3 linked regions of the Alligator mississippiensis genome follow. The protein of the gene in region 3 interacts with the protein of the main gene of each other region in a biochemical or structural test. Links are inferred from orthologs where the notes say so. Each region holds a gene or a part of one and is shown on either strand. Other genes may lie near its edges.

Region 1 (7,870 bases), on a different chromosome or scaffold from region 3:
GCGGCACCGAGTAGTCGGAGTTGGGGTTGTAGGGGAACTCGTAGCCATCCCGGTCGTCCAGGCCCTGCGTGCGCCAGGCCTCGCCCAGCAGCCGTGCCTCATCGTAGATGCAGATGGTGTCGGGCAGAGGTCGTGGCGCCCGCCCCTCGGGTTCGTCATAGATGTGCTCCTTGCAGCGTGGGGCCGGCCCTAGCCCTGAGCCTGGCCCCGGCCCCGGCGCGCTACCCACAGCCCCCAGTTTGCTGTCAATGGGGTCTGAGTACAGTGGGTCCAGCCAGAGCCGCGGGCCCTTCACCGAGTCCAGGGGCTCCGAGTACAGGCTGGACATGTCCTCGGAGGGCAGCACAGGCCGGGGCACCTTGGGCAGCGGGGAGCGCGGGGGTGTGCTGGTAGGCGCAGGCTTGCTCTGCGGCATCGGGGGCTCCGGGAGGCTCCGGGTCTTCAGCAGGCTCAGGGCGTCCCTCTCCTCTGGAGCGGCGCTGAGCCGGGGAGCCAGCCCGGCCTTGGGGCCTGCAGGGCTGTCGCCCTCGGCTGGGAGGTCGAGGCTGAGCGAGTCGGCCAGGGTGCTGCGGATCTGCATGACACTGGGGCAGTCCGCATCCAGCGAGTCGCAGCTCTGCCGGTGCTCCTCCGCCAGCGTCTTCTGCTCCCGGATGGACGCCTCCACCAGACGGAAGATCTCGTTCCCCTGCTTGGTCTCGAAAGTGAAGTTCCCGGGGCCGGAGCTGCAGCGCCGCCCAGCTTCAAAGGAGAACATCACCTGCCGGGCAGGTCAGCTCAGGTCAGAGTCCCGCTCTGCTGCCGGCTGACCCCTGGCGCCCAGCAGAGCCACCTGCAGAGGGGCAGCACCAAGCCGCCCACCCACAGAGAGGCCTGAGTGCACACAGGTGCCTGCAAGGCAGCTCGGCCCCCGCCCACCCTCCGCCAGCTGCTCCAGCCCCTCGCCGGGGCGCAGACCCGCCTCTGCCTGGTTCCGGCCAAGGCAGGAGGAAGCAGACAGGCTGCATCACTGCTGCTGCTATAAACAGCTTCCCTCCCAGACCACTTCCTCCCACCCAGTCAGGGTCCATAGGGTGGGAAAGGGCCACGCAGCACACAGGGTCTGGCTGCACCACAGCTGGGAATGATGGAGGGGGCAGCAGGTGTGAGGAGACCGTGCGCTGCCAGCGGACATGGCAGGGGTCACGTGGACAGGCGGGGGCCCTGGCACAAGGCCTTGGCAACACCTTGTTAGGGAAGCATGTGCAGCACGGGCCAGGAGATGGACACTGAGGGGGCAAGTGCAGAGGAGTAGCCAGGCCCGGTGGGCTTGGTTCATCAGTCTATTAACCTCCTCTCTCACTCCGGGGTATCCCAAACCTTGCCCCGCAACCCACCTTGTCACGCCCATATCTCCGGAGCAGCCGGTAGGGCCACACGTAGAGCGTCTCCTTCGTCTGGGGGTCGCGGAGCGCCAGGCCGTCGCGCTCTGCCCGCAGCTGGTAGGTCCCGTACAGCCCACAGCGCTCGGCCGCCTCCGTCCTCTGCACTGTCACCCAGAAGCTGTTCACTGTGAAAGGGGGAGCCGGGGCAGTCACGGGGCCTGGCAGGGCTGGCGACCCCAGCGCTGCGCAGAGGGGCACAGCCAGCGTCCGAAGGATGCCCCGAGGCGGGCACGGGGGCCTGAGCCCAGGCACGGCCCAGGGCGGGGGGCGATGCCCCAGGTTGGGGGGCTCTGCCCTCGCAGGACCCTGTCAAGCAGCCCAGCCCTACCTTCGTCCCGTGAGTAGTAGATGGAATTCACGGCCATCTCCAGGGCAGGCGCTGCGGCGCTGCCCTCCGCGCTGCGCCCGCCCGGCAGCCGGCCCTCGCCGCCCGCATTGCCCTGCCGAGCAAGCGAGACGGACCTCAGCACCCGACGCCAGGGGCCTGCCAGCTCCAGGGCTCCCCATGCCCCCCACACACCCCCACCCCGAGAGCATGGGTGGGCCGTGGCCCCGGCTCCCCACGGGCCTGGCCGGGACCAGCTCAGAGCGAGGGCTGCCGGCAGACGGGGATGCCCTCCTCGCTCCCCATGCCCCAGCCTGGCAGGAGGGGGCGGGCGCCTCCGGACCAACCGCAAGCAGAACTGAAAGCGTGAGCCGGGAGCCACGTGGGATGATGCTGCGCCACAGGCAGCGGCAGGCGGGTCGGCTGTCGTGGAAGGGCAGGGGCGCAGCAGTGGCAGTGCTGGCCCCAGCGCGGCCACGTGGCCGTGGGCCCGGCACCCCCCGTGCTCACCCCGAAGGCGATCTCGCACAGCTTCCCCACCCACTCGGCGCTCTGCTGCTTCTGGGCGGCGAAGAGGTAGCTGCGGTCGCTGGTCTCCAGGCAGAAGGTGGCCGTGCCATCCTTGGGGCCGCTCTCGCTGGCGGGCGCCACGCTCACGCAGTCGGCCAGACGCACGATCTTCTTGTCCAGCCGCTTGGTGCCCGGCTTCTCGCTCGGCGCCGCCGGGTCCTTGCAGTCGAAGAACTCGAGGCGCGCCACGCCGTGCTGGCTGGCCGGGTACAGCACGAACCAGCTCTTCTTCCAGCGCTGTGCCACGCGACACCGCAAGGCTCAGGCTCAGACCCGGACCCTGCACCGGGACCCGCACGGCCTCCCCCCGCCCGCGCCGGGAAGAGGAAACGGCTCTTCCGCTCGGCCCGGACCCGCTTCCCCAAGCCAGGGGGGGGCCCACCCGGGACACGTGGCGGAGCCCCCGGCCCAGCGCGGGCGGGAAGGGGGCGGCGGGAGGAGGGCGCCCGGCCCCGGCCCCGGCTCCGGCCCCGGCCCCGGCCCCGGTCCCGGTCCGGTGGGGGGGCGGGGCCGGGCGCGGGCGCGACCCCGGGGGGTGTGGGGGGGGCGCTGACCTTGGCCCCGAACTTGAGGCTGTGCTGCACGTAGAGCTGCCCCTCCTTGGCCGGGGGGTCCATCCCAACGCCGCCGCCGCCGCCGCCGCGCCGCGCTTCCTGCTCCCGGGCCGCGCCTCGGGGCGGGGCGGGGCCTGGGCGGGACGGGGCGGGGCGGGGCGGTCGGGGGCGGGGCCTGGGCTCGCGCGCGTGCGAGGGGCGTGCACACGCGCACGGCCACGCCCGCCCTGTTGCGCCGGGCTCCCACGGGGGCTGCACACGCACACGCCCCCCCGGGCGGGTCCCGGTCCCGGTCCCGGTCCCGGTCCCGCAGCCGGGCGCGGCGCGGGGATGTCGGCGCGGCCGGGCCCGCTGTGCGGGGTGGTGGAAGGTAGGCCGGGCCGAGCCGAGCCGGGCCGGGCCGGGGGGGCCGCCGCCGCGCCGCGCTGGGGCAGGCAGGCACGCGGGGATCCCGCTGCTCAGACCGGTGCGCACGGGGGGTTCCCCTCCCCCCGGCCCAGCCCGGCCCGCTGCAGCCCCCCCCCCCCCGGCAGCAGCAGGACGCTGGCGGCCGCGGCCCCCGCACCCCGGAGCGATGCCGGGCGCCGTGTCGGGGGCGTCTGTGTCTGCGTGTGCTGGAGCCGGGCGCGGGGCCGGGCGCGCAGACAAACCGGCGCTGGCTTGCGTGACCCCGCGGCGGGAAGGCGCGTGGGGCCGGGCCGGGCCGGGCCGGGCCGGGGAAACTCTGGCAGAGCGCCGGCTCCGCCGCGGACCATCCCGCCGCAGAGAGCGAGGGACACGGACTCCCCCGGCAGGGCCTGGGCCCGGTGGCACGGGCGCTGCGGGGCGCAGGTCTCGGGCCGGGCCGGGCCGGGCCGGGCACCAGCCCCAGGAGCCGCGCGGGGCCGGAGAAGCCGCGTGTGGGCGGGGCGGGGCGGGGCGGGGGGGGGCGCGGACACGCAGGCCTCTGCAGGGCCCGGTCCGGGAAGGGGGCGAGCGATCTCCGGGGCTTCTCCTCGGGCCCGTGGCTCCAGGGCAGCTGGTGCAGGTGCATGGTTGCAAGGTGCCTGGGACCATCCAGGCTTGGAGAGCCCCACGCGTCCTTCCCCGCTGTGCGCCTGGCCTGGGCCCAAGCCCCTGCCACCGCCGGTGAGGGCCCGGGGCTCGTGCGCCCAGCCGCGCCGGACCTTGGACGGCTGCGCAGGGGCTGACAGCACCCCGGAGGACGCAGGGCGGGGGGCGTCGGCCGTGCCAGGTGTCAGCGGTGGCGGCCGGCTCCGAGCCCTCGCGGCGCCGGGTCAGTGTGAGCCACGTGCACGCCCGTGCGGAGCAGAGAGGCGGCCCCGGCGTCCAGGGCGGCCGCGGCCGCGGCCCGGGTGCGCTCGGGGCCGGTGGAGGCTCCCGGAGGAAAGGAGCCGTCGCCATGGAGACCCAGCTCCTCCGAAACAGGCTGGCAGGGAGCCCGGGAGAGCCGCGCCACGCTCTGCCGACACCCCAGCCGCCCCCGCGTGTCTGCCTGGGCATGGAGCCCGCCCTCCTACGTGACACCGTCCCCGGTGCCCCAGAGCACCCGCCGGGAGCACGGGGCGCGAGCCCCTGGCAGGTGGGGTGGGGGGTGCGAGATGCATCATTGCACAGAGCCGCGTGCCTTTCTCATTAACCAAGAGCGCTTTGCTGTCGTGCCGGGCCCAGCGCTGCGCGATCCAGCTTGAGAGCAAAGCCAAACCAAATAGGACTTTGCTGGAGCGAGTGAGAAAGAGTGGCGGGGCTGCGCACAGGAACGGCAGAGACTATGCTGCTGGGGCGCCAGGGCTGCTAGAAAGGAGACAGGGTGGTTAGCACCCGGGGGGCGAAGGGTTTAGCAGGGAGATGATGGTGAGCTGTGAAGTCTCAGCCCGGGCTGGGTTTCCACTGGGGGTGGAGCAGGAAACGAAGGTGCAGCCCTGCACCCGTCCCTGCCTAACGCCACGGCAGGGGCCAGGTTTCAGGTGCACACGGGACAGTGGCTGACACCGGGGCTGGGCCCGGGGCCTTGTCCCTTTGCTTCCCCTTCTCCCCTGAAGAGGTGGGCAGGGGTGGTGTCCGACCCAGTGCCGGGGTTCCCGGGGCCTGGTGGGCGCAGGGCAAGGGGCTGCATGCGCGGGGGGCGGATGCCGCTGGGTGCTGGGAAGAGCGTCGCTTGGCCAGGCAGCGTATTCACACAAAGTGCCACTAAAGGGCAGCAGAGAGGCAGGCGCAGAGCTCTGCTGTGTACCAGTGGCCTGTTGCACCTGTGTGTGTGTGGGAGTGAGGAGCAATGCAACATGGGATGCCTGTAGGACGGACTGGACCCACGTCCTGTGACACCTGATGTCCACACATCACGTGGACCCAGTTGGCAGTGAACCCGTTCAGAAGAGCATTCGGTTTTCCAGGCATGCTTTTGAACCATTCCAGGTGGATTTAAACCAGATTAACAGGCTTGTCCACTTTGGGTTTAAAGCAGTCCTGGTGCCACGTGTGTCCATGCCCGGGGCTCCTCAGTGCCACGTGGTGGTGCCCTCGGCCGCCAGCCACGTGCCTCACCAGATGGCTTCCGGCACAGCCTGCGGCCATGGGAGGGGCAGCGCCGGGACAGCAGCCGCGGGCAGGGGAGCTGTGTGCGGGGCTTGCATGTGCCCGCGTCCAACTCCTGTCCTCTGTCTCGCTTCGCAGGCTTCTATGGGAGACCGTGGTCCATGGAGCAGAGAAAGCTTCTCTTCCAATGGCAAGTCCCTGCGCGCCGGCGTGGAGGCCCTGGTCCGTGCGCTCCGTCGAGAGGCCGCAGGAGCCTGCGCAGCGGCAGCAGCAGATGCCATCTCCCGTGCAGCTCTGACGGGTGCTCGAGCTACCTGTTGCTGCGTGTGTCCATTCACCCTCCCTCCCTCCGGGGTTCGCCACCACAAGCGTGGCACTGGGCGAAAGGGCACAGCGCTCCGTTCCAAATCCTCCCTGGTTCCCCCGCTACATCCTCTCTCTCTGGGCAGCCGTGCCCAGCTCCCCCCAGCTGCGTGGGTGTGGGCAAGGCACCGGCCTGGGCCCAGGAGAACCAAGGGGGTCCCTTACAGTGTGGGCTGAGGGGCAGAGCAGTTTGGGGGCCAGATGGCCAGGTGTGCATCCAGCTCAGTCGTATGTCGGAAGTGAAGCATCCCACCATGGTGCCTTCACTGGCTCGGGTGGTGCCAAGGGTCTAGGGTTTCCCGGGGTGAGCATGGGTGGTGGAGCTGGGAGCCCCACTGGGCCTGGACCCTGCAGCACGCCAACATGGAAACCTGTGAGATGCTGCCTCCACACTCAGGGCTCCAACCTCGTCGCTGGCCCACGTTCCCAGCCAGACGTGGCCTCTGCCGGAGCATGCAGTCCTGGTGCCAGCACCCGGGGCTGGGCCCTGGACACAGGAATGGCCACGGTGGAGTCACTAGTCGCTCAGCCTGCTGGGTCTCTGGTGCTGGGACAGCAGGGAGCAGGAGGGGCCACGCTGTGCCACACAGGCCGTGCCGGGAGCCACCCCTGGTGGGGCACATGGCTGATGGCTGTTGGCACCACCACGTGGCACCGTGGAGAGCGCAGGAGGCAATGGGAGCAGGAGCATAAGGGAGCTGATGGAGTTGAGGCTGAGGCCCACAACATCAGGGTGGGCTGCGGAGGGGTTCGATGGGCCGGGAGCCCCCAGGGCGGGGGGCAGGTGTCCTGCCTGGTGAGAGCCTGGCCAGGGCAGGCCTCACTGGAGAGGGGAAGCCGCCCTCAAGCACAGGCCCCCGAGAGCTGTGGGTGCAGCGGGGTCCCATGGCACCATCAGCCCCAGGTCCTGGTCCCCACAGCGCTCAGCAGGGGGCGGTGGTGCGCTGCAGCTGTGGGGGGTGATGACGGCCACGCTGCAGACGTGGGGGGCTGCTCACCAGAGATGGGGTGATCCTGGTCACTGCAGGGGGGTGCTGCAGTAGCTTTGGGAGGGGCATGGGGATGGCAGCCACGGTGTGACCAGGCGATGAACACCTCCCTGGGAGGCCCAAGCCAGAGGGTACTGGCCAGCCCCCCTCACCTCTGGGACCATGGCCGGATGCTGAGCCCGGGCTGGGGTCTGCCATGGAGAGCAGGTGCTCCAGGGGGATGGGGTGGGGGCCCCTGGGACAGGTCTGCCCACCTGCCACATGCCAGGCCCCAGGTTTTGCGCTGAATCTACAGGGGCGGGTCCGTGGCGTCCTGACGGCAACGTGGGGAGGGCTGTGCCAGTGCCCGGAGGCCAAGGCAGGGCAAAGCCACCGCTGGAGCTGGCCCCCAACCTGAGGGCCCCGCCGCCTGCCTTTGCTGGCCGGCGAGAGTCCCATGCCACGGACGCGCTCCTGCTGGTGTTGTCCAGCGAGGATCTGATCTGTCCTCACCACAGCAGCCCGCGGAGGTGGGCAGAGCAACGAGCATGAGGGGCATTGGGGCCCAGAGATACCTCCTCCAGGGCCCAGGCTGCTGGCTGGGCCTGCCTCGTGTGCACACACACATAAGTGTGCACATGTGTGCGCTGGGGGTTGCACCCAGGCAAGCGGTGCCTCTGGAAAGGAGTCAGGGTTGCTGCAGACACTGCCGGGTACATGGGAGCAGGAGTGGAGGGAGGGAGACAGGCCAGAGGCGAGTGCAGCCTCTGGATCAGGACCACGGCTGGGTTGCGCTTGGTCAGGGCAGGCAGAGAACGGCCCCTGGCCGACCCGAGCCCCTGCCAGGATGGGCACAAGCCTGCCCCTGCCCTGCTCCCGCCTGGCAGCGCGTGGGGCTGTGGCCCCAGCGTGTCCCCAGCTGCTGCCTGCGGGCACATCTCAGTGAGGGTCTGCCCGGGCTCCGCAGATGGATGCTGGCACCGGCCCCGGGCAGCGACGGGATGGTGTGGCGAGGCCCAGCTGTGCAGCACCGCATGCAGCGCCAGTCAGGTTGGCATGGCCAGTCATCGTGTCCGGCACGCTGGGTCATCCCCACACAGGTCCTGAGCCCGGTGGGGCTGGACCGGTGCT
Region 2 (6,955 bases), on a different chromosome or scaffold from region 3:
TGCAGAAAAAGCCATGTTTTAATTGTTGGGAAGCATAAACATAAAATGCATTCCCCTGAAACAATGATAAAAGTATTTCAATTCTTTTTCATCATAGCTTGAATACCAAGTTATATAAAAACAGGAATGCATGCCAACCCAAAAGCCTACACACAACATTGGTCAAACTTCATCATTCCTGCACAATTTAAAATCTCTCAGATTTTCTTGCTTTACATCCTGTTGTTAATGCTTTAAACATTAACCAAAAAAACAATACTCCACAAGAAAAGATATCCAACAAGCTGTTATTATGTTCCCATGACTGTCTTGGTATACAAATGCAACATTTTCCTGGGAAATGTAAACAGCATTATTCTATTCAGTGAGGTAAAATCCGAAACCACATCAGCAACTGAAGGCTTCTTCAGCTTGAAATGGTCTTAAATATACGAACACTTCAAGGACCACCGAAGACAGCTAAAGGAGATTTGGCTCAAGGCATTCCTTCTCTGCAGAGAATCTTTTGATGGTGAAAAACACGTTATTTTATTATTTGCTTTTTAACCCCGCTACCTTATTCTGTTTCACCTGTAAACAGTCTTTCTGCTATGTACTTTTTTACTTGCCTATATTTGCACACACCTAGGAATATATGTGAAAGAAAAGCTTGAGGCATAGATCTAAGTTAAACAGCCTGCCACGTTGTTTGCAGACTATGAATTACATGGCTTGACTCTGTCCATCCTACACATTACAGGGGAAGGGGGTGGGGGTCTTTATTTTGCAGAAGGAAGGGATGATATGATATGCTACTATTTCTGTGTAAACGCAAAAGGAGAGTTGTTTCCCAGGAACTGTTCCACTGGGAAACCGTGATATTTGAAATGTAAATGGCATTGGTCCTGGTGATATTAGAAAGCTGTCTTGGGACATCCCCTTTTACAAAGCTTCCAAGGGGCTACCTGGAAGCCGAGCAGTGATTTCAGAGGGAAATGGACGCCTGCTTTCCTTGCAGAGAGATATAATGGAACCCCTGCCCCCCAGCAAAGATCCATATAGGTGACCAAAATAAATAAATAAATAAAAATAACCCCCCCCCCCCCCCCGGTCTCCAACAGCATTTCTATTCTGGTCACAGAGACCAGTAAATAAGGTGCATCCTTTCTGCTTCGGAAAGAAATTAGCATTTCAAAAATCCGCCACTTTCCCCTGAACTCCGAGCGTGTCTAATAATGCGAGAAGCAGATTGTCTCCCCTCGTTTCCTTAATTTGTTTCATCTAAAAGCAATTCACTCAACATCTTGTCGCCCTCTGGCAGCTTAGTTTACTTCTCCGCACTTCATTTCTCATTTGGACCAGAACAAAACTCCTCCGAGCTGCTGCTGAGGGAGAGGGGGGGATCGCTGCGTGCTCACTGGGGCCCGCTCCCCCCTGCCCCAGCGGCGGGGCTGGCTTGGAGGAGGTTTCCAAGGCCGCTGGGACTGGGAAGGGGCTTCCCTGGCTCCTCATTTCCGCGGAGCATCCAGCCCGCTCCGCCGCCTCCACCTGCGCGCGGCTCCCGCAGCCCCCGCGCTCCCGGGGGCCGGGCTCGGGCCCGGGCCGGCGGCGGCAGAGGCGGGTCCTCCTCGTCCTCCCCGAGCCCGGCTGGGATGGGGAGGGCGCCACTGCTCCACATTGGGGGAGAGCAAAGCGGAAAATGTCATGTCGACACTAACAGCAATGAAGCCGCCAGCCTCGCGGAGGGAGGTGGGCGGGTGAAGGGGCCGGAGGCAACTTTCCTGCCTAGTCCAACTTGGCGGTGGGAGCAAAGACAAGGAGCCCCGTGCCTGCCGGGGTGGTCGGTGCATTTGTTGCTCATTCCCTGGTTAAAAAAAATACCCCCGGCCTTATCTTGGGAGCGGATGCCTGCTAGGAGAGCCCCGGGGGAGGGGGGGGGGGCAGGTCTGGCGGCTCCTGCCCCCCTCCCCCTCCCCTCCGCTCTCCATCACCAGCTCTGCTCGGCACCGGCCCGGCCCCGAGAGCGACAACGGGAGGTGGCTGCAGCCCGCAGCGCTCAGCCCCGCTCCGCAAAGTTGGAGGGGCCGAGGCCGCCGCGGAGCAACTTAGTTGCGAGCCCCTCCGGCAGCCGGGGCGGAGAGAAGGGAGGAGGTGGGGAGGGGGCTTCTCTTCAAGGCCGGCGGGCTCGGGGGGCACCTGCCCGCCCGGCTCTGGCCCCGGCCGGGCTGCGGGGCTGCCCCGCGCGCAGGTGGGACAGGGCGCTCCCACCCGCCGCGGCCCGGACCCGGCGCGACCGCGGAGCGGAGCGGGCCGAGCGCTCCTCCACGGCCACGAAAATCATCATCATCATCATCAGCCTGATCACGATCGCCGCTGCCACAGACGGGGCCGGGCGAGGGAAGAGGGGGAGGCCCAGAGCATCCCAAAATGCAGACACGGGGCCGGGAAGGAAGAGCCCCCGTCTCCCCCGTCCCGCCCCGAGCAAGTTGCGCGGGCAGCGGCGGCAGGTGCGGGGCTGGGAGGGAGGGCGCGAGCCGCGAGTGCCGTCGCCACCCACCTGACTGAGCGGCGCCGGGCTGCAGGGTCCCGCAGCTCCCCAGGAAGCAGAGGCAGCAAAGGAGTCCGCTGGCCAGCTTCATGTCGGCGGCCGGGCGACGTCTCAGCTCCCGGGGTGGCAACTACATGGTCCAAATGGCATATCCCTGTGCGCGCCCCCTCCCCTCCCCTCCCGGAGGGGCGCGGGGCTGGTGCGGGGCGGGAGGCGCTGCTGCCCCGCCGGGCTCCGGGGAGAAAAGTTGCTTCCGAGCCGCGATCGCCTCCCGGCTGCGCCGCTTCGCCTCTGCCGGCTGCTCCGCTCCGCTCCGGGGCGGCGGCGCCCCTCTCCCTGCCTCTCTCCCTCCCTCCCGCTCACGCCTGGCCCGGGGCTGCGGTGGCAGGAGGCTCTCGGCGCGCCAGTGCCATGGAGTCGCGGCGCCCGGCTGCTCCGCACCGAGGAGCGAGACACCCACCCAAAAAATACATTAAAAAAAAAACCCACCCACCCCAAACAGGCGCAGGCACGCACCGAGAGGAGCGAGGGGGCTGGAGCAGGGGGCGAAGCCCCGCCTCCCCCGCTCGGATTGGCACCGCGCGCCCCGCCCCCGCGCCCCGGGAGCACCTGTCACCGCCCGGGCGCCGGGCACCGCAACCCCCGGCCGGCGGGCGGGCCGGCGGGCGGAGGCAGCGGCTCGGCGGGGGCAGTCGCGTCGCTTGACCGACTTCGGGGGCCCCCGCCGCTGCGAGCGGGCTTCCTCTGCCGCCCGCGGGGCTGGAGGCGGCGGCGGCGGAGGGGGCCTGTGCTTCCCCCACCCGGAGCCGAGCCCCGGGCCCGCTCCGCGCAGGGCTCAGGCGGGAAGCCCGTGCCTGACTTGTTTTTCGTTTTTCATTTTAACCCCATCCCTCCAAAGAACAACAGGCCGAACGTGGCTCCAGCTTGAGTTTGAGCCGGTTTAATAAAGCGCATTTCCCCAAAGAACTAGGTCAGACCAACACCCCGAAATGTGACTCTGGGCTGTGGGGGGGCAGCGCGGGGAAGGGGGCGAGTGTGTGTGTGTGTGTCGGGGTATTTTTCCAAATAAAAGGGATTTTTTTGTTCCCAAATAAAACTCTCCCTCCAAGCAGCAAACTGAAAGGGAAAGTGCAGCGGAAGCAGGAGCCTGGGAGGCAGCAGGACTTGGTCCCGGGCAGGGGCCGGCAGCACAGGGGAAACCTGAGGCGCGCTCTGGACACGAGGTGGGAGGAGAGAGAGAGACCCACCGCTCGGCAATTCCTGACCAGTTACCAGCTCTCTCTGCCCGTGGGCACAGGGGCCGGCTGGAAACTCCCAAAACTTGCCTAGTGTTTCAGGGTCTCAGCCAGCAGCTTTGAAAACACTCTCCACCTCCACCCCTCACCCCCAACCCCAGCCCTCTAGAAAGCCCCCTTCTCTTTCTCTTCCTCTTTATATAGATTTTTGTTGTTGCTGTTTTTGGAAGAAAAAGATACTTCAACGGTTATCAAACTTCCCCAAGTCAGGGAACCCTTTCCTATCACTTCAGTCCCTATCCTAAAGACTGATGTGGAGTCAGGCGACCTGGCTTGGCAAAGGCAGCACGCTGCCCAGCCCACTTTGGCATTACCCCCACTCTCTCTGCCAAGCCGCTGGTGGCTTCCTGCAGACCCCCCAGGATTTAAGTTTGAAAACCGCTCCTGCGCACCATCACATGATTCAGGCAACCTCTTTGCTGGGCCCTTGCCACCACTAAATGAAAACCGTCAGTGCCCCAGGGCTGGGCATCTCTCAGTATTCTGCATTTCAGAGCACGGCTTGGTTGCAACAGAGCTTGCTCGATGTAATCAAAAGAACAAGGCAATTTCTGAGAAGGCGGCCGTCACTTTTATGGCCCGATCTTAACTAGAGCTGAATGCCCTCGCATTGATTTTGGATAGAATTTGTGGGCGTGTAAAAATAATACTATGTGGGCCATTGAAGTGTTACAGACTTGTGGGGAGGAGGGGAAAGAAATGGAAACTAGCTCTATAAGGAATTGAACACTGGGAAGGAGCAAAGTGGTGTTTCTCATCTCAACTTTAAGATAGCATTGAAGTTTGTTCACAGTTCAGGCTGATGATTATTTCATCCTCTTGAGTTGTCTACTGCCTGTTTTATGTATGCCTGTAGGCATGCCTAGCTGCAACTTGCTGGTATCTGGTTTTGTCTTAGAAGTGCAGTAATAAATGTGTTTTGTCCAGTTACTGATCTTTGACCCAGTCATCATCCCACAACAGTATTCCTGTTGCTTTTCCTCAGTAGTGTTAGACTACCGTCAAGCATATGGGGACTCAGACTTTTACTCTGTTAAGACTCTAGGGGCACAAGTGAAGAAATAAGGAGAATATATGAGAGCTTGTAAATTAGTGCGCAGTTACTGATACAGACAGACCTACTTGCTGCACAACGAACAATGGGCTGGAGCCCACACAGAAACTGCTACCCCCATGTTGTTAGAAGGAGCTATTAAGCATGCAACAGCTGAATACTAGGGGCAACCAAAGTGAAAAAAAGGGACAGAAGTGGGGGTCAAAGGTGAATAACAAGTGCTCCAAGCAGGGACACCAAGCGGACCACACCAGACAGTATCCACTAGCCCTGAAATGAATCCAAGGAGCCTGTGGACACTGCCCAGTATAATTTTGCCTGGAGATGTGAACAGATGAGGGACTGGAAGACAGCCCCCAAATCACCGGGGTCCCCCCAGCCAGAGCCGCCTTCTCTGCCAGGTGGATGGCAAGCAACTGTTAGAGATGGGACTCAGCTAGATGGACCACCAATCTGATCTAGTATTGGCAATTCCAGTCTTTCTATACTTATTAGATGGACCTAAACCAGAACAGTGTACCGTATCATTTTGGAATAGATTATACTTTCCTACTAGGTCTAAATCAGAAATGAATCCAGCATAGCAAAACAGAGCAAATACTAACAAATCAGAGTAAATTGTTTTGAGCAGTTCACTACACCACTATACACCACTAATTAAAATCTGTCTGATTCCTCTGGTGTCCATCCTAGGGAACAGAGCCTATTTTCTGGTGACTTGTTGTGGAATTAAGATTTGATAGATTTCATAGACATTAGGGCTGGAAGGGACCTCGGAAGATCATCGAGTCCAGCCCCCCGCCCAAAGGGCAGGACGTCAGCTGGGGTCATAGGATCCCAGCAAGATAAGCATCCAGTTTCATCTTGAAGGTGTTCAATGAAGGCGCTTGAACAACCTCCGGCGGCAGGCTGTTCCAGACCTTGGGGGCTCGGACAGTAAAGAAATTCTTCCTTATGTCCAGCCTGAAACGATCTTGTAGTAGTTTGTGACCATTCGTCCTCGTCATCCCTTGGGGCGCTCTGGTGAACAAACTTTCCCCTAGATACTGGTGGTCACCCCTGATAAACTTGTAGGTGGCCATCAGATCACCCCTGAGCCTGCGCTTTTCCAGGCTAAAGAGCCCCAGGGCTCTCAGCCTGTCATCGTAGGGCCTGCTTCCCTGACCCCTGATCATGCGCGTGGCTCTTCTCTGGACTCTCTCAAGCTTCTCCACATCCTTTTTGAATTGTGGAGCCCAAAACTGGACGCAGTACTCCAGCTGTGGCCTCACTAAGGCCGAGTACAGGGGGAGAATGACGTCCCGGGATTTGCTTGAGAAGCATCTATGGATGCAAGCCAGCGTTTTGGTCGCTTTACTAGCCGCCGCATCGCATTGCAGGCTCATGTTCATCTTGTGGTCAATGATGACCCCCAAGTCTCTTTCTTCCATAGTGCTAACCAACATAGCACTGCCGAGCCTATAAGGATGCTGCGGGTTTTTTTTCCCCAAGGTGGAGAACCTTGCATTTATCGGCGTTGAACACCATCAGATTCTCATCCGCCCACTTGCTGAGCCTGTCCAGGTCAGCCTGGATCACCCGCCTGTCTTCTGGTGTGGATGCTTTGCCCCAAAGTTTGGTGTCATCGGCGAACTTGGCCAGTCCGCTTCTGACTCCAGTGTCCACATCGTTAATGAAGATGTTGAACAGTATGGGTCCAAGGACAGAGCCCTGGGGGACCCCACTGGTCACAGGACACCACGATGAGTGACTTCCATCAATTACTACCCTCTGGGTCTGACCCCGGAGCCAATTTTCCAGCCAGTGGATCGTGGGGGACCCAAGGCGACAATTGGCCAGTTTCTCCAAGAGACGATCATGGGACACCAGATCGAAGGCTTTTTTGAAGTCAAGATATATGACATCAATCTCATCTCCCTTGTCCAGGTGATAGGTCACCTGGTCGTAGAAGGAAATGAGATTGGTCAAGCAAGACCTACCCGCAACAAACCCGTGCTGGCTATCCCTTAAGATGTTGGCGTCGGCCAGTCCATTAAGGATGGCCTCCTTAATAAACTTTTCTAAGATCTTCCCCGGGAT
Region 3 (7,941 bases):
AACTGCAGGGAAGAACACTTGCAAAACAAAAAAAGAACAAAATGGAAAGGATAAAAGTTACTGTTAAACTTAAGCAGCTAAACACTGAAAAAAAATCAGAAACAAATCAAAAAAGTTTTTGTCTGGCCCATTTCTTTAGTGAAATGTCAGTGTCACTGGTTTCCCCTGTACAATCAAGCTTGCAAGTCACTCACAGCAGCAGGAAAAAATAAACACAACAGGAATATGATTATGAAGTTAGATTCAGAGGCAGGTATCACTCCTGAAATACCTCTCTGGAAATTTATCCCATTTTCAATAGCTATCCCTTTTTTATACTTTAAAGAAATGTTTCGAGTACCTTAAACATTTCTACCCCAACATGTTGGCCCTGATCCTGCAAAGATCAGGGCCACATGCTTTGCTTTAATCATGTGAGTAATCTAACAAAAGAATGCAACTGAAGTATGCGCTTAAAGACGGCAAGATTGTGGCTATTGTAGTCCTCCAATAAGATCCATTTATAAAAAGCCAGACACTTCACTGTTTTGAAGTAGTTTAAAAGTATGTAAGGCTTTGCATAAAAATTGCGCTGCTAGCATATACATTTGGTGTTCCAACCGGAATTTTAAAAAGTATTCACATTTATAAGTCACAATAAAATGTATTTAGAAACATGAGTAGTCACTGACCTAAACAATCACCCAATCAACCATTGTTACAGATCTGTTGGGCATCCATGTGAGAAGTATGCAATATTTAGTTCTTGCAGCAGAAGAGAGGAAGTTTGGTCTTGTGGAAAGGAAATCAAGACCTCTGTCACTAACTTGCTATGTCCTCTTGCATAAGTCACCTCACCTGCCAGTGCCTCTATTTCCCCTCATTTTTTGTCCCTCCTGTTCCTTCACATTTTGATCTGTCTGAGGAATAGGATAGCTTTTCATAAACATTTGAACAGTCTCTATTTCATTAAGGACGTTATTCTTAGGAATCGAGTCATAAAAAACAGAAAACATAATCAAGGATGACTGGAAAGGTTAAAGAGCTGTGTGTGAAAACATATCTTTGCCCTCCTTTTTTGTACAGCAGCTCTGCTATCATCCTGAGCTTGGGAAGAAGAAACTCGCAACATGGAAAGTTTAAGCTGCCTCTGAAGAGATGGAGCACCTTCCCCACTTTGTATTAACATTAGACACGAACCCTCCCAAAAGTACACACAGTCTTACAGAGCTAGCAAGAAAAACAGACTATGAATAGGTAATTTTTTTTTAAGGCTATGAAAACATTATGTTATTTCTAGACAAAACAACATCAGTAAGGGGGTGCCTTTTTGCACTCATTTGACAGGGAAGTGGGGAGTAATGGGGATGGGAAAAAGCTTTTAAAAATATGAAAGCCCATAAACATGCAAGAAGAATTTTACACTGAACTACTGTGAGAACATAACACACAACACTGAAACCAAACCACTTCCCAGATCCCATTAACACACAGGATAAGAAATCCAGCCAGAACCCATCTAAATAATACTTGCCATTGCAAATCTGCATTCCCATTTTACATCTTGCCCCTCTAATGCATCTGATATATGAGGCTTCACCCTAACTTAGGCATCCATTTATATACCCAAATACCAACTTTACTATTTCAGTCCCTGAAAGACTTGTCTTTCTGTAGGGCATTGTGTGCCCCAAGGTAGCTGTTGCCCTACAGATAAGTTATTAGTACACCCAGAAGCTTTTTGCCTGTGTGCCCGTTTCGAGTTCTGACTGTATGTCCAAGTGTAAGCACACAGGCAGCGGGAAATCGAACATAAGTGACACCTGTAACAACTGTCCGGGATGTCCTTTATGTCATCAGCACTGAAGGAATCCATGGTAAGCTAATGAAAAGGCAAACATAGTGAAATCCTACTACAAACCACCACTTGTTTGGGGTTGGTTTTTGGGAGGGGGGGGGCAGGTTAGAGGGCAGGGAGGAGGTTGGGGTTGTTTTTTTTTTTACTGAAGCCCAGTTCTTTTCAAAAATGACCTAACTGCATATGAACTTCTTCCAAATCAGCCAGGCTACAGAAGCCTTCATTTACAAAAAAATTGCCTCCAAGTGCTGAAAAGCTACACATTATTACCTGCCTTTAAAGCCCCCAGGAAGACTGGCTGCAGGGGGGGGGACCCCAAGCAGGACAGCAGGCCACCCACCTGCTTCAGGAAAACTAAAGTCACCCGCAGATTTTCTTTTTTGTTTAAGAAAAAAAAAAAAGGGGGGGGGGGGGGTGTCACGAAAGAGCCATTCGGCCACATCGGAGCTTTGTCCCGGGAGCACCCAGCTCTGCCGAGGCGCATAGAGGCAGGGAGCTGCTCGGCCCAAAAACCCTGGGAAGAGGAGGAACTTCCCGAGAGCTCATCCCGCCCGCGGCTGGGACGGGCGTCCCTCGTGGCCGGGCGCGGCCGGCTCCCGCACCCCGCGGGCCCATTGTTGGCGCCGGGACCGCGGATTTCCCCGGGATCCGGGCGCGGAGGGGGGGCAAAACTTGCAACCCGGCGCGGGCGCTGCCACGCACTTCCCCCGGGCGGGCGGCACTCACTGGTTGGTGGGGGGCGCGGTGAGCGGGATGGCCACCTCCTCCTCCTCGTACTCGGGCCCGTCCAGCGAGTCGCCCTCGTCCGCGGCGCCCAGCGGCGGCGGCGGTGGCAGCGGCGGGAAGCCGGAGCCCGGCCCGGCGGCTGCCGTCTCCGGGGCGGGGGGCGCCGCCCTGGGCATCTCGTGGCCGGCGGCCGGCGGCGGGGCAAGTCCCGGGGGCGCGGGGAAGGAGGCGGGAGAGCCCGGCGGGCGGGCCCGGCACGGGGCAGCGCAGTGGCCCGGCTCGGCGGCGGCGGCGGGTGTCCCGGCGGCGGGAGCCGAGCCGCCCTCCTCACCCCCAGCCTCGGCCGCCATCATGGTGAGCCTCGCCCCCTCCCCCTCGGCCGCGCGGGGAGGAGGTGACAAAGGGGCCGACCCCCGCCCCGCCCCGCCCCGCCCCGCGCCGAGCCGAGCCGAGCCGCAGCCGGGACTGGCGGGGGCAGCTTCCCGGGCCGGCTGGGGGCAGCGCCGCTCCGCAGGGCCCCGGCGCGGCTGCCTCTGCCTCCGCCTCCTGCCCCAGCGGCCGGGAGAGAGCGGCCCGGCCCCGCCCCGCCCCGCCCGCCCGCAGCGAGCACAGCTCCGGGACCGCAGCGGGGGAGGGGAGGGGAGGGGAGGGGGCGGCAGCCCTGGCGGACTGCGCATGCGCTGCGGCTCGTGAGGCGAGGCCGAGCGGTCGCCGCTGCCGCTGGCTCCCGCTCTGCCGCTGGCTTCCGCTGCCGCCCGCAGCGCTGGGGTGGGGGCAGCTCTGCCTGGAGCCTCTCTGCTCCCCCCGTCCGCAGAGGGGCAGTGCGCCAGGGGAGTCCCCAGGAGTGGGGCCGGCACAGCTGAGCCGCGAGCCCCGTCCCCTCCCGCGCCAGGCGCGGCTGGATCCGGGCTCAGCCCCTTTGTGTCCGGCCGGGCTGCGCCCTCGTCGCAGCAGCATGGCCTGGGGGGCGCGTCCACACCTGGCAGGGCTGAGAAGAGGCGGGGCGGCGGGGGAGGTTTCTGAGGCTAAACTCTGACTGGGTCTGGCAGACTCTCGTGTTTCTTAAGTGCCTTTGAATTGGGATTTGGGTTGCCCTAGATCCAGCTTGCCCCCAGGTTGTTTTTTTGAGGCCCCAAATTAGTAGGATTCAGCTGTTTCCTCTGCATTTCAGGCTGTAGTTCTGTTCCCTCTGGGTGCTCTAGACCTGCAATTAATGCAAAGCAATAAACTCCGGAGCAGTTTGAGCTGGAGTAAACTACTCCTGGGTATAGTGTCTGCATGTGTGCCCAGGACAGCAGCACATTGAGGCATGGCAGAGCAGGCCCACGCTAGCAGGGTGCTGAAGGGCATCAGCTCTGGGTTCCTGAGGGGTGCTGGAAGTGCAGAGCCTCTGGCAGGGTGACAGGCAGCAGCCTGGCCCCCAGCAAGCTGGCCTGGCAGGGTGCAGTTCTTGCCCCTGGTTACATGTGCTTAATCAGAGTGAATTACCCTGGTGTAAGATAGTACATTCCTGGATAGTACTATTTTAGAACAGCATAAATTAGTTTACTGCAGCCTGCTACCCTCACACCTGTAGACGGTGATGCTTTACTCCACAGCTAATTACTCTACCCTGCACTAAAGAGCTTGTGTAGAGGCAGGCAGTGGGCACAGCTACATGAGACGCTGGCTGTGCAGTAGTCAAATCATACTGCACAGTAGCACATCACAGTGCCAACAATGCTAATATGCTACAGTGCAGTATTATTAGGCTACTGCACAGTAGCATCACAGATGTTCACTGGTACTACTACACAGTAACTCCCATTGCTGCACATTTAGGGCACTTTTAAGCATGCATGCATCGCAACGCTGGGCAAGCGCCTAGCGCTGTGACGCATACAATTGTATGAGCAGCAAAATGTGCGTCAGCATTGGGAAAAGCAGCAGATCTCTGGCATATCACTGGAAAAAAAGGATGTGTATAAATGCTCTTATTTAGTACTTGATTATATGAGTACTAAATAAATGCGCAGTAACCACTGCACAGTAGCATCTCATGTAGACATGCCTACCAAATAGCAAACTAGTACTGAGGTTGAGGAGCTGTGCTCCCCTGGGGGAAATGAATGCTTGTTAAGTTCAACTCCTTTTTTCTTCTGCAAATATCACAAAAGGGTCTATACCTGCTGTAAACATAATATGCATAAAGCGACAGCAAGGTTGTGGTGGGTTTTTGACTGACAGGATCGTAGTCCTCACAGTGCTCTGAGAGGTGCATGCACAACTATCCTAATTAATAATAGCTTTTCCCTTGGTACCGGTCTGAAAAAAATGTATCCTTTTGTTCACTTATTGCTCTGAGCCTCAGCCACTAACTCCCAAACTTAATTTTATGTTCTCCAGGAATTCCATTGAATGCAGTAGAACTATTCATGAGTTAAGCTGTGTACAGATGTAAGTACTTCCAAGATCAGGACCAATGTGACAAACCTATTTCCAGGCAAAATAGTGTGTAGATACCTTTTGACTTGCAATATTAAAATAGCTGACAAATAGTAGCACCTTGACACTTGCATGTGTCTCAAGTGTTCTTAAAAGGCATCTAAACATTCAGGTTTTCAAAGCTTTGCATTACCCAAAAGTATTAAGTGAATTTCTCCTGAGGCAACTGAAACAAATTGATACTCCTTCCACAGCTCTCCAGCCAACATCGTTTTATCTGCTGCACTGAACTCTCTTATCTTTCCTTCCAAAAGCAAAATTCTTCTCCTTGTTGCACCATTAAAATCTCAGGATTTACTCTGGATTTGTGCCAGTGTAAATGAAAGCAGAATTTGGCTCCAGTCCTGAATTTATAGGATTATAACGTGTGTGTCCTGCTGTTTTTGTGTTTAAAAAATTTCAGCCTCGGTAGCAGTCCTTTACAAGTCTAATTTCCATAGTTACACGTTCCATTATTGTACATGTAATTTCAAATAATCTTCTTGCAATTGTCTCTCTGTGGGTTTCTATTTACTGTTCATTTTCCCTCTCAGATTTTCAAATGTAATTATTTAAATCCACTGTTGTTGTGTTTGTAGGAGTGTCATTCCTAGATACTTTAATGCACTATAAATATTTGTAGGACTCTCTTCTTTGAGATTCTCCTCTTCTGATAACTTAGGGACATAATAAGGGTGCTGTGCTGAGAATTCAGTCCAGGGGAGGGCTGCACAGCTCATGGGTTTTGCATGGGGAGGGCAAATGCAAATTTTGATGTGGTCTCCACAAGAGGCTTCCTGTGAGGCTTGCTAAATCAGTGCTTCTCTAATGTGGCAAACCATGCCACTCTCCCAGGTCTGACCTACCCATGCAGCAGACTGGCAGAGATACCCAAACAATAAAAGCTATAGAAGTGGTCTGGCTGAATTAGCATGGTGCCTGCGCTAATTAGCCACACCAAGAAGTATGGCCCATGTAGAACAGTGAGCTAATGTCAGTATGTTGCTCCATCAGTCCTCGAACCTGCTCTGAATGAGCACTGTACCAAGGGGACATATTGTGGACAGAATTTGTTTAAACCCCTTGGCCTTGCTGGTGCTTTCATCCCCATGTTTCTACTCTGGTTAGATTTTCCAACAATAGAAATCTACCATTTAGGGTCCATTACCCACACTTTCATAATTACAGAAATGAGCTTCGTACCTGGGGAGAAAACATAATCATTGTCGTCATCATCAAAAGCAAACCAAGTCTACCAAATGGAACCATATTTTCTGGACATCTGCCATACATCTGCAAAAATACCTTTTTATTGAATATCCTGGACACAACTGCAGAAGGTTCGTTCCTTCCTTACCCTTTCCCAAGTTTGTTCCTCATGCGGTCGCTTAAATTCATTGATGAATGCATGTAGACCTGTGCTGAAGCAAGTCTACAAGGTGGACTCCTGGGCAAGTCTGGAATGTTTGAAAATCTATAGGAGCTTTCATTGGTGGCCAGTAGTTCTAATGGCCCTTCCCCATGGCCACATTGAAATTTCACGTGACAGAAAACTACTGCTGTTCTCATTTCAACATGCTTTAGTTATATTTGAATAATCTGTAGAAAGAAGGAAATATTTTCTGTATAGAACATGCATGTCTATTCCATATAAAATATGTTATATCACATTTATTGCTGTTGTCAGTTCTGGTCTTTCTTTTTAATGATCTGTTCCAGCCATGGGAATTAACTAGTTAATTAACTAGTTAAAAAATTAAAGAAATGGCTAATTTTTAACTGTAACTAGTTAAATTTTTCAGCTGTCAACTTTTAACTTTAACTTGTTAAAAAAAAGGTTAACTTTAACTTTTTTTAAAGTATAAGTTAAAAGTTAAAAAAATTGAAATCTGGCTTTCCCAGAGTTTTTTCTGACAGCTACTCCTAGGACTTAAATGGAATGATAGTTCTTTATTGAAACTCTAGGACTTCTTGTTTGAGAGAGAGAGAGAGAGAGTAGGATGCCTTCCTATGAAATATGGTCTCTTAAGAACTGTAAGTCTCAGAGTTCCTTAGTTCATGCTGGCATTTTTCTGTGCATTTGCAGAAGTCAACAGGGCAGCCAGTTGGCTGCAGGAGGGAACAAGCACAAGCAAGCAGAGACATTGATCCCAGTAAGAGTGGGAGCGAATAGTGAGGGTGAAGCAGATGATGACTTTTTTTAGTTTTAATGAAGATTAGAACCAGCAGCCCAGGGCCCAAGAAGTTGAGCATTACTTCTCATCTGTGAGAAACTTATCTGAGATGTCACCTACTATGAAAAAACTACTCATCTGTTATAACACAAGCATTCCCTCATCTACCCCTGTAGAGTGATTGTTTAGTAGTGGGGGCTTAGTTTTGCAAGACAGAAAAGGAAAATTGTCAGATGTACGTTTTGAAGCTTTTGCTGAAGTTCAATAAGCATGTTTAAACAGTTTTGCTATGCAACTGAACATTCTTTTTCTCATTTGAGCCTAATTTTGATTTTCAGACACTTTCATTATTTCTAATTCAGATGTATTTCATACCCTTTTGTTACCTTTTGAGCAATAAAAATTGTAGCAACAGAGGTTGTCTGTGGAAACAGCTTTCATTTGTTATCTGGCTTTGAATATCTCCTTTCTGTTATTTTGGTATACCTATATGATGCATTGACTTCTACAAAGTACTTCACATGGAGAGGGTGAGAAAGTTCTAGCATTACATAGGTATTGGTAAATTGTTATTCTGAAAACTGTATGACAAGTATAACATTGTTTGCAGGTAAAGCAGGGTGAGTTCTGAGTAAATTAGTGCACTTCTGTGGGCTTATGGAAAAGAAACCCACTCATTGCATTTGAAAATGAAAATGATGCTAAAAGGCAATTCACCATGTTCCACACATTTCTCATGAA

Evidence for each region. The genes of interacting proteins can lie anywhere in the genome.
Region 1: the proteins of RASA1 (region 3) and DOK1 form a complex in vitro, tested with the Homo sapiens proteins (2 studies listed by BioGRID, with this or other methods). The link is inferred for Alligator mississippiensis from reciprocal best matches to the Homo sapiens genes RASA1 and DOK1.
Region 2: the proteins of RASA1 (region 3) and ERBB4 form a complex in vitro, tested with the Homo sapiens proteins (2 studies listed by BioGRID and IntAct, with this or other methods). The link is inferred for Alligator mississippiensis from reciprocal best matches to the Homo sapiens genes RASA1 and ERBB4.

Annotation. Positions count from the first base shown.
Region 1 is NC_081825.1:325,313-333,182, forward strand, and holds the start of DOK1 (docking protein 1), read right to left. Parts: upstream 3,003-7,870; 5' UTR 2,937-3,002; coding exon 2,874-2,936; intron 2,557-2,873; coding exon 2,260-2,556; intron 1,865-2,259; coding exon 1,753-1,864; intron 1,550-1,752; coding exon 1,377-1,549; intron 761-1,376; coding exon 1-760. Other genes in the region: protein O-GlcNAcase, read left to right, coding at 7,022-7,269. UniProt on the Homo sapiens protein: DOK proteins are enzymatically inert adaptor or scaffolding proteins. They provide a docking platform for the assembly of multimolecular signaling complexes. DOK1 appears to be a negative regulator of the insulin signaling pathway.
Region 2 is NC_081827.1:179,024,799-179,031,753, forward strand, and holds the start of ERBB4 (receptor tyrosine-protein kinase erbB-4), read right to left. Parts: upstream 3,003-6,955; 5' UTR 2,619-3,002; coding exon 2,537-2,618; intron 1-2,536. UniProt on the Homo sapiens protein: Tyrosine-protein kinase that plays an essential role as cell surface receptor for neuregulins and EGF family members and regulates development of the heart, the central nervous system and the mammary gland, gene transcription, cell proliferation, differentiation, migration and apoptosis.
Region 3 is NC_081826.1:245,121,784-245,129,724, forward strand, and holds the start of RASA1 (ras GTPase-activating protein 1), read right to left. Parts: upstream 3,004-7,941; 5' UTR 2,917-3,003; coding exon 2,564-2,916; intron 1-2,563. UniProt on the Homo sapiens protein: Inhibitory regulator of the Ras-cyclic AMP pathway. Stimulates the GTPase of normal but not oncogenic Ras p21; this stimulation may be further increased in the presence of NCK1.